3 linked regions of the Drosophila melanogaster genome follow. The protein of the gene in region 3 purifies or fractionates together with the protein of the main gene of each other region. This does not show direct contact. Each region holds a gene or a part of one and is shown on either strand. Other genes may lie near its edges.

Evidence for each region.
Region 1: the proteins of gNacalpha (region 3) and CG9922 purify together in Drosophila melanogaster (affinity purification with mass spectrometry, with the first as the bait; one large-scale study listed by BioGRID). This does not show direct contact.
Region 2: the proteins of gNacalpha (region 3) and Txl purify together in Drosophila melanogaster (affinity purification with mass spectrometry, with the first as the bait; one large-scale study listed by BioGRID). This does not show direct contact.

The regions. Positions count from the first base shown.
Region 1 is NT_033777.3:14,034,578-14,038,333, forward strand, and holds CG9922 (uncharacterized protein), read right to left. Parts: upstream 1,822-3,756; 5' UTR 1,353-1,821; coding exon 1,247-1,352; intron 1,106-1,246; coding exon 1,044-1,105; intron 975-1,043; coding exon 867-974; intron 702-866; coding exon 603-701; 3' UTR 441-602; downstream 1-440.
Region 2 is NT_037436.4:5,764,163-5,767,584, forward strand, and holds Txl (Thioredoxin-like), read left to right. Parts: upstream 1-1,683; 5' UTR 1,684-1,847; coding exon 1,848-2,213; intron 2,214-2,270; coding exon 2,271-2,554; intron 2,555-2,613; coding exon 2,614-2,827; 3' UTR 2,828-2,922; downstream 2,923-3,422. Other genes in the region: CG10576 (uncharacterized protein), read right to left, coding at 272-434, 497-633, 925-1,022, 1,179-1,266; Ppat-Dpck (bifunctional phosphopantetheine adenylyltransferase - Dephospho-CoA kinase), read right to left, coding at 2,974-3,422.
Region 3 is NT_033779.5:1,035,418-1,039,173, reverse strand, and holds gNacalpha (germinal nascent polypeptide-associated complex alpha subunit), read right to left. Parts: upstream 1,929-3,756; 5' UTR 1,796-1,928; coding exon 752-1,795; 3' UTR 668-751; exon of another isoform or gene 641-667; intron 596-640; 3' UTR 489-595; downstream 1-488.

The sequences.
Region 1 (3,756 bases), on a different chromosome or scaffold from region 3:
TATTTTGCTTTAGTTGTTATAAATGAATTTCATTGTCTATTTTGTTTCATAATTTATATGTCTATTTAAATACCTTCCCTCTCTCCCCCAAAAAAAAAAATGAAACGGAATGAAACGTATAGAGCTGCTATGAGGCATCAGGTTTTCCCCAATAACGTTTGGTAGCATTTTCATTTCGTATAGAAAGCAATCGGGCAATATGTGAAAGCGAAGCAAACGCAACTGCCAAAAAGTCATATTTACACGATTTACGAATATAAGTGGGCGGCTGAGACGAAGGACTTTGCGTTTGTTTCATTTAGCAATCGGATACATAAATTATAAACATAAATTATACACGGATACGACGCATCATCACATTTTTCTTAAGGACACGGAACGCATGGGCAGTGGCGATATTCTGAATAAAATTGCAAGTTATTATAACTCCAAAATAAATTCGTTTAGACGATGTAAGCACTCTCACTCATTTGTGGGCTTAAAAGTCTTTTTGTTTTGTATTGTTTTCTTCGCTAGAGTTTATAAATGTACAAATAAAGCAGTGTGTTGTTACGCTACATAAAAGAAACAGACGGCGGATTGCTTCGGATTCCACGAGCACCTCAATTGCTGATGATGGCTTCCAAGGCGGCCACCACATCGCCGCTCTGCTCGCGGAGCACTTTCTCGGCATGCGCCTTGCTAACCAGCAGCTCGTTCATCTGAAAGGGCAGAGGGGAAGGAAACCATTACAAAAGGAAGATCGGAAGAAAGTTATCTATGGGAAACCAAAGGAGGAAATCTAAGGGAACTGGAGCTAATGCAATGAACTATATTTGTATCTCTACAATGAAAGGGAATACTTCCTTGTAGTTTCGCATACGTACAATCAGTTCAATGTCCTCCTTCTTGACTTGGACCTTCTGGAGCTCCTTCTCTTTGGCTACTCGCAGTTCGTTCTCCTTGTTACGCTGGTTGCCAAACTGCTCCACGGCCTGTAAATTATAAAAAAAAAGGATGTTGTTAATACAAATATTGCCTTGCTAATAAATATATGAACTTACGCTGGATATATTGTCCGCAGAGATCTCCTTTTCCTCGGCATAATCCGTCACACGTTCCAAATCTAAAAGCAAGATGAAGTTTTAGTATTAATACTCCATATTTATTAAGGATTGGTGCACAATACATGATATTTCATAGATGCCAGTCATTTTTTTGCAATTTTTCAGTGGAATGAGTTGCGGCATGTGAAATATTTATTTACCTGCGGCGCCGTCGTCATGTCGTTTCACATCGGATTTCTTTTGCTTTTTATCCTGCTCGTCATCCTCCACTTCTTCTCTGCCGTTGATTTCCGCTGCTTCCGTCATTTTCAATTGTTTTTTTTTATGTTTAATTCAATAAAAGTTCCGAAATTCTTTGCGATTTCTTCACCTCGTGCGATTAGAGATGGACTACTAGCGATAACACAATCGACATAATTTAACTAATAATCTATGAGTGTTTGCTTGGCTTTTATTGTAATAGTTTTTGAAGTTTTTTATGTAATTTCGAATTTGGAAATTGTGTATTTTCAATATGCACTTAGCGCTGTATTAAATTAATTGCATTTATGCTGCGTGTCAGCGTTGCCACCTGTCTGTTTTTGATCGAAAGCGACAGCCCTGTTTCAAAAGGCGCGCAGTTTGAAAAGTGTGCTTCAACAATTGTACACTTCCAACCAAAGAAACAGTAAAATCATCAAAACGCCAAGAAATAGTGTCATATTGTTAAACAATAAATTAAACGAAGTTGATTTTGACAAGAAAGGCGAGGAGAGGAGAGCAGTTAAAAGTTGACCCCACAAGTTTTAAGCAAAACATTGACACATCTTTCTTTAAATTTAAAGTCAATGCTAAAGTTTTTAACCGCAAAACTAATTAAAAATGTCTAGCACATGCAACGTAAGTAACTGCTTTTGGCGCTTTGCTCGTTTCTTTCGCACATTCCCAATTTTTTTGTGCTGCGGTCGAAATGTTAATTATAAGTTTGATGCTCCGGCTATAATTAGATTTTGAAGCAGTAGAGACATGCATACTTCTCTGCTCTGATGTGCGACATCCTTTTTTTAGTTCAGCTCCCCCGCCGCTCCTCTAGTCCACTGTGTGTGTGTGTCACTGTGTCCTGTGTGTCCTGTTGACATAATCGTTTGCCATCATGATTAATTTAATTGTCACTTTGACGTAAAGGACACTCACAGTTCCTCCTGCTTGCGTGCTTTTGCCCGGTTTGAAAATCAAGATTAATTAGCATCCATGACCATGGGCGGTCAACATCATTTGTTAGGGGGCGTGTGCGCAGATGGGGGGTTGGTTTGCACCAAAAAAAAAAAACGGGGGATCCACGGGGTGGCGACATATGTGCACTGCATTTAATTCGATTTTATTTCGGCAGCTCCGGATTTTTCATCGGAATTTCGCATGCGGAGCGCAAGTGATCGGAAAATGAATAAGAAATGTGAAATGTGGGAATTTTTGTGGTTTTAACTCAGTCACACAGATACCCTTTAAAAGTGGAAATATCTGTTGAGAAAGTGAAAAAGTCATTATATAAACAATTTGTAGTTCGCTTAATTAAGCTTAAATAAAAGTAATTTTCTAATCAATGACAATTTTATGACTAACAGTATTTGAAAAATAAATAATAATACTTATTTAATATATCAACTAATTTACCTTTTTCTTTTGAAGAGTACGCAAAAGGGTTAAATGCATTTTGTTTACCCGCGCAATCTCAGCTCAAACGAAGCATATGCGATTGGCAGCAACAGGCATTGCATTTGCATTTGCATTGTTAGCCCAGTTCTCATTTTCCATTTTTCCATTTTCCCCGATTTTTCACCACTCGCTTTCCCCATTTTTTTTCTCCCCGTTTTCCGTTTGCCAATTGGAAATTAAATTATGGTGCTAATTAGCGCAGCACATAAATTAAGTTGCCAATTTCGGTTGCCATTGTGGTTGGCAATGGCAAATTGAGCGTTGCATATCCACAGGGGCATCCTGTTCCTTTTACTGTGTGTTAGTGTGTGTGTGTGTGTGTGTGTGTGAGTGCTTGCGTGTGTGTGTTGGTGCTGGCACCCGAAAATTCACACAGTATCTTTTCTTTTTTTTTTTGCCATTTTTTCGGGGTTAAATTCGCTTGCGTGACGTAATTTAACTTGCATTGTCTTCGCGAAGGGCAAACATTTTGTTCGAATTTGTTGTTTTCCCTTCTGGTGGTTACTTTCTGCGTTTTACACTCGGTTTTATTGTTTCTTTTTTTCTTTTTGTTGCGGTTTCTGTTCTTTTTATGCCAACTTTTTAAGTGTGCAAAATAGATACAAAGATAGCACAGACGACAGGCCATAAATGAGTTATCAGGATTGTGTAATAATTTAAGGCGCTAGAAATGCAGATACATATATGTTTTAAAGGGATTTAGACACTTAAAAATATATGACATGTGTAGATACTTTAAAGAGTACAAGCTTTAATTTATTTGTTTTTTTTTCTGTTATATTTAGAACTTTCTGCTCTCTTGTCTTTCCGTGTTTTAATTACCAACACCCGAATGTAAATTTTGTTGATTATCAATTTGGAAATGCTCGTTGCCAATTTAATTCAAGAATTTGGCAATGAACATGTGTTCAATTTGCCACACCTCCATCAAAAATCAGCATTTCTGCTGGCTTCCTGCTTCATTTTGGGGCATTCCCTTCACGAACTGAATGCAGAATGCAATTGGCTGCACATACAG
Region 2 (3,422 bases), on a different chromosome or scaffold from region 3:
AGTTCACGAAATTGACACAGTTTCTATCCGCAGGTGTTGAGCTGATCTGTGTCAGAGTTTGAGCGCAGTCAATCCGTTGCCTGCAGAAGAAATAACCTTGTGGACAACTGACAAGAAGCCTCCAGTCCTGAATAATAGGCCAGGGCAATTACCAGCTGCCACAGCTGATCTTTGCAAGTGTTGAGATGTTCAGTCGCTGGAGAATCGCGGCAGACAATCCGTTTCTTGCAGGGATTAACGGAGGATTACCTAGAAGTAAGGGAGGACTCACATTGGCGCCGGACTTGAGCAGACGTAAGGCAGCCTGGACAGCCCAGTAGGCGGCGAGGATGACATCGGCCTGGCGACCACTGATCTTCTGATCCGCAGCAGCGCCTACCACAATTGTGTGAGCGGCCACGGCAATGAAACCATCAATGTGGGCACCCAGATCGCTGTAGAAAAGAAATGTTACGTATTTAGTGGCGGTATATGTGGAATAGGAGGTTCAACTTACATTTTGACCACATCACCGGCCTTTAACGTGTAGTCAGCATCGTTTTTGGCTGGCGAGAAGTGGCAGACACAGTTGTTGACGGACAGACAGGTGGGAAAGGCAATGCCCTTCTTCAGGTCTTTCTCCTTTTTGTATACCTGTTTGTGAAAGATCGATAAAAGCATTAGATTGCTTGTTCGTTGTACTATATATCAATGATAGTGCGCGGTGTGTCCTCAGATCTCATAATCTGTAAATCCTCGGGACCTTTTGGAGAGCACACAAGCCGGGCACGTGGAGCATTGGAGTCCCCGCGTGCGCCTGGCGACCACGAGGTGATCCCCAGCCCGCACAGCACATGGCTCGCCATCGGGAAACCCTCAAAGGTGTAAGTCTTAATCATTGGACATGAAATTGGCGCGAATGACCGCCAGGTGGCCACCACTTACTTTGCCGGTCTCCTCGGTGAGCTGATTGTCGCCCTGGGTGCAGATCTCCCGGACGGAGGCATCAACCACGCAGAGTCCAATTACCGCCTTGAGGGTTTCTAAAATTAAACGAGCAGACAGAGTCCAGAAATAGGCAGATTAACCAACGCGTGGCGCACAAGGGAAAGCGGCATTCGGTGCATTGTGTAAGCGCCACGTAGCAGCGACTCCAGGAATCGGCCAGCGTTCGCTGTTTCCGGCCAAGGAATACTCACTGTTGACGATTTCGCCGGCCAACTTATACTTGGTCACCACCAAATCCTCGGCGATGGTCTTCTCGGGCTCCTTTTCCACATCTGCCATTGTACTTGACTCTAATAATTTTAAAATGGCGACTTAATGAAAATGCGACCGACTGAAACACCACGAGGTAATGAACGTGTGGCCAGGCGCAGCGCAGGTATCGAAAGTTCCAGTGGCGTGTATGGTGGGACCGCTCATTCGCCTTGACAACCCTGGCAAATGGGCGGTAAGCTTAAGATGAGCGTGAAAGCGTAGATTGCTAGTCGTAAACACTGAATGAATTTTAAATAACACTTTGAGCTATATCAAATGAGAATATTTCATAGTTTTACATATTGTAATCCACTAATATTTCAATAAAAGTTTAAATATTAAGTTTCGGTTTTTTTCTATTACACATAAATGGTCCCTCTAAAAATAGGAAGTCAAAGAGCTCGAAATATCGATACCATCACAGTGTGACCGCTTGTGGAATACCGCATTCGGTATTTTTCTTAGCACGAATTTGGACTAAATGCATATTACAAGTCATCTTTAACAAAAAAAATTTGCATTGAACGTTAATAATAACATTTACTTGCTTAAATCCAATTCGGCTGCCGAAACAAAAGCTCAATTAATAGAAACCTAATCCTATCACCATGTCCGTGCGCGTGATCAACGACGAGTCCCACTTCCAGGCGGAGTTGGCCCAAGCGGGCATTCAATTGGTTGTGGTGGACTTCACAGCTTCGTGGTGTGGTCCCTGCAAGCGGATTGCGCCCATCTTCGAGACGTTTCCAACAAAGTACCCAAAGGCCATCTTCCTGAAAGTGGATGTGGACAAGTGCCAGGACACGGCTGCTGGACAGGGCGTTTCGGCCATGCCAACATTCATCTTCTACAGGAACAGGACCAAGATCGATCGCGTCCAGGGTGCGGACGTCAATGGGCTCGAGGCCAAGATCCAGGAGCACATCGGTACATCCGGTGGCGAGGAGGGGGGCGAGGATTACGGGCAGGGATTGGTAATATAGTGCAGTATTTGGAAATGTTCCAAAAATAATCCCTAATCCTTCTTACAGATGGAACTGAATACATTTATTTCGAAGCAGGAGTGCGAGTGCCTCAACGAAGCTGATGACCACAACTTAAAGCACGCCCTGGCCTCCGCCGGTGGCTACCTGCAGTCCGATTGCGATGAGCAGCTCATCCTGTCCATCACCTTTAATCAGGCTGTGAAGATCCACTCTTTGAAGTTCAAGGCACCTTCGCACCTGGGTCCCAAGGATGTGAAGCTGTTCATTAACCAGCCCCGCACGATTGACTTTGACATGGCCGAGTCCATGAACAGTGTGCAGGATCTAAGGTAGCTATTGCCTTCTCTATGGCTGCTTAGCTCTTCTCACTGTTCAATCCATTTTGCAGCCTGGCTCAGAAGGAGCTGGAGAGTGGAGTGCCCGTGAATCTGCGCTACGTCAAGTTCCAGAATGTGCAAAACATCCAAATCTTCGTGAAGAACAATCAGTCAGGTGGCGATGTGACGCAGATTGATTATATCGGCTTCATCGGTTCCCCCATCATGACCACCAAGATGAACGACTTCAAGCGAGTGGCTGGCAAGAAGGGCGAGAGCCACTAAGGTTCCATTGAAATTTTCAGCGTTTTTCCCCAATGACGTCCCAGCATTTCTTTTCAACTTTGGACTTACAACTAAACAATATACAACAAATGCATAAAAAATCATACAAAATAAGGATCAACAAGATAATCTAAATATCCATCGGGTTAAAGGCTGCTCTGGTAAGAGTCCAGTTCCTTGGTAAGCATTTTCCACGCACGCTCCGCCTGTTTCTGGGTGAATTCGTGATCCCATTGCGAACTGAATATCACATGCGACTTGGCCACGATCTCAGAATTGGGCACCTGACTGGCCAGTCGCTTTTGGGCCTCCACTTCGCTCAACTTGTTGCGCTCAATAATCCGCCGCACAGCCTCATCCGGTGGCACAATCATGGACCACACCTCATGGCAATTGGTCTCCCAGCCCGCTCGCAGCAGCACCGCTGCCTCCAGGACCACCACACGCGGCACGTCCGCCTGGGAACGCAGTGCATCCAGCCGCCTGTTAACCTCCGCAATAAGTTCCGGCCAGACAATGCCGTTGAGTGCTTGCAACTGCTTGGGATCGGCAAACACCAAGGGTCCCAGCTTGGACCGATCGATGCGACCATCGT
Region 3 (3,756 bases):
TTGCGTAGCCACGTCACCAGCAGCGACGTCACCTGTCTCACCTGGGAGTACCCCTGAAATCCCCTGAAAGAGCTGAAACGCAATCACGGCGTCGTCAAAAATTCGCCAGCAAAAAATGCAAAGTCGAGTGCCGGGGGACTTCGCCAAATGGCTAAAAACTAAGTGCAGAGTAAACAAGAGTGCAGCGTCAGCGGCACAAAGAAAGAAGCGATTAAGTTTCCGCCACAGAGAAAATGTCCAAGAATGACGGTACCTGAAAGGAAAATTGCCAAAGTCTAGCGCTGATGGAAGAGCAAATACGAGTATAATGAAAATGGTTCGGGTTCGCATATGCGTTCTTCGCCCTTCGGAAAATGCTTTCACTGTGCCAAGATGGAAATGGTGGAAATGTCAATTCATTAGAAAATTGAAATAAGATGGCAATTTCGCTGTACAAAGGGGTTCTTCAGTGGGATTCTTCTGCTGGGACCGAAAACATTTTCAAAAACCAGGAAATGATCGGCATTTAATATAGTACGAGCTACATTGGCACCGGAGATTGTCATTCTTGTAGAACAAGCCATCCACCAGGAGAAGTGAAGTCCGAAAGGATTGTCTGGATTACATGAAAGTATAGTAAATAAAAACAACATGAAAGTTTACGATTTGATTGTAATCATTTAATTACCATTAATTTCTATGGCGAACATGGATGTTATTGAAATTCTCTTTATTTCATGACTTTGAATACAAAGGAGCCACTCAGAGCGACTTAACCCACAGTCAGGGCCATGATGGCATTGACCACATCGTTGTCGTTCTTCAGCAGCGCCTGGATCGCCTTTTTGCGCGAGCACGCGGCCTGCATCTGTACCAGTTCGATGTCCTTCGCATGTAGGCCCATGGCATCCGCGTCCTCGCCATCGTTCTCGTCGTCGTCGTCGTCGTGTGGGGACTCCTCGCCAGGGGCTTTTCCATCCTCGTTACCTTGCCGCCCGGCAGGCGAGGTTCCACGGAATCGCTCGGCCGCCTTGACAGCTGCCTGGGAGGCGACGGACGTGGTGCTAGTGTCCTCCACGCAGATCTCCCCAAAGAAGATGTACGTCGACGAGTGCGCCACTCTGTAGACGTCCGGCTGATCGATGTACAAGAGGATGTTCTTGCCCTTCTTCATGGTCACTCGGGCCACGTTCTCCATGGGCTTCAGGTCCAGCTTCATGAGGATCCGGCGTGCCTTCCGCTCGCCGCGAGACTGCTTTGATACCTCACGTGTTCGCACGGCCACCGTACCGAGTTGACCCTGCTCGTCCGGTTGGGTCTCCTTGGGATCCGCTTCCACGAGATCCGGGGCGTCATCGGAGTCCGTGCTCTGATCATCCTCAACTACGCAGGATTTCGCGGCGGAGGCGCCCTCCTCCTTCTGCGAGTTCGGCAGACTGAACACATTGGGCGGCAGCTGTTTGGCCAGGCTCATCAGCTTCTTGATCTTGTTGCGGTAGGCCGGGTCCATTTGACCCATGATGTGGGGCTTCCCCTTTGCGCCACTAAAGCCTGCCGGAGGTTTATTCTTGACATCCAAGGCGTCTTCCGAACTGGAGATCTCCTTCTGAAGTGCCTTTGCGACGTTTGGTTTTTGCGTTGCCTTGGGCTTCCCTTTTTTTCCACTGCCACTTGGTGAGGGAGAGGCTTCTTCGGCAGGCTTTTCTTTGGCCACCACGTTGTCGGCAGCGGTCTTCGATTTCTCGGCAGCGGTCTTCAATTTCTCGGCAGCGGTCGCCATCTGGGCAGCCTTCTTCATTTTCTGCTTCTTACCCATCTTGAGGAATAAACAGCAACTGAGGGATTTGCGATCACAGATTTGCGAGGACAACTTCTCCAAAAAAATTTCCAAATTGGCAGCGCACGTGGTGTGACCTCTTGCGGGAAAGACTTGACAGGAAATATCAGAGGTGAAACTTCCAGTGGCTTGACAGCTGGTGTTGCTCTCTTCGATAAGTGCTGTTGCGAAATTTGGTATACTTATCGAAAAGTTTTTTCATAATGAAAACTGGAAATTTTTTATGCTAATGGCACCTAAATAGCGAAATAAACAATATCAAGTGTTGCTTTCGGAAAGATTATAAGTTTTTAAAATGGCCACTCGGCCATTCGAACATGCAGAGCACGCCTAAGTCTATCGATATCGATAGGTCCCAGTGCAATCGTGAACTGATTATAGGCGTTAGCAGCGCTGCTCTGAAGAAAGTTGGTATTTTTCAAACGAGAATGTCAGCTGCCTTCGAACTGTGCACTTAATTTCGCGGTTATAAAAGTTTTGCTGCAGCGCCTCGCAAATTCTATCGAAATTGATGATTGCAAATCAATCCACTGCAGTGACGTGCTTGAAAATTTTCACCTGACAAAGCCAGTTTAAAAGTGGTGGAGAAATGAAAAGTTCAGCGGTTATTTGGGTAATATTCGAATATGCAAAGTCGTAAAACTCGGATGCCCGGAAAATGCCAAAGACCTGAATCTGAAGCTGGTTCCTCCGTGTTAATTGCTGTCGTGGTCGCACCGCAGTCTGCCTCCAAAGCGGAGCAGCCCCACAAACACGACGCGGTGGAGCAAGCGCGGTTACACGTGCGGTTTTCCTTGCGGTTTTCCGGCTCCCGAATTTCCCAGATCAGGCGGTTCAGGGCGGGGCTGTGTGATCCTGTTTTGCGTTCTGCGTGTGGCGAAAAAACACTTGCTAAGTGCATTAAAAAAGTGCCACGCCCTATTAGGGCGCTCTTCGTGTTACGGAAATTACATCACAATTCGAGACAACCGTACAATAAGAATATGAGCACGTATGGATCAAATCCCCAATGGAGTTAACATAACATTTAGCATAATTTTCATGAATTCTGACCTTTCCTATTTCCTACATAACAGGTATGTGGTAATCGGGAGCATGTATTGCATTTTTTCTGCAAGCCGCTGCGCTCTGTCTGATGATGCGTTTTTAATTGCTCGGTTCTTTTAATTAAAGTTCGAGCGAAAGAAGGGCGTCCACCACCTGCAATTATTAAACTTTATCGTGGGGTCAACGCCTAATTGAGTTGCACAAATTATTCAGGAGAGGCGAATGAAGCAGCAGGAGGAGGACTAGGAGGATGTGGAGGGCAGGAGACCGAGGATGCATCCGGCTGCCGCCGCAGAGTCTGTCCTGTCACCATAATTAAATTCGAGAGGCCAACTAATCAGATATTCCCTTTGCCCAGCCATGAGTCCTCGCATCTTAACATCTCGGTCGATTCGATTCAATGTTGCTCGGTTAAGTTAAGTTCTGCGCGGACTTGGAACTCGGAGACCCGGAGAGCCGGAGAAGGGTGAAAAGTTTTTGGGCGTCCTGGCACGTTCGTCCCATGATTAATTATCCGCCCCATATGCTGCGGTGTCATCTGGGCCCATCCAACTTATTGGGGCTTAGTCTTAGCCTCGAAGTTTAGTTTCTGCTGCCACGGCCTGTGCATGAAAAATGAACCCAATTCGGAGGCCCACCAGGACGAGGTCTTCACTCTCCTTCAAGGCAACGAGGCCCACAGAAGCCGCTTTCTGGGGGCAAAAATCTGTAACGCATTAATCATGCAAGTTTCGAGAAATGATTGAAATCATATTACCATGTCGTAGACATGTTATAACCAAAGATGTTTCCGTAATTGAGATCTTGGCCAAGGCATTCATATTGTGCCTGCTCGAGAGTCTCCTCTTCCCGCTAATGAATTTCATTGCTGATTGATGCTTATTTGGCTTAAT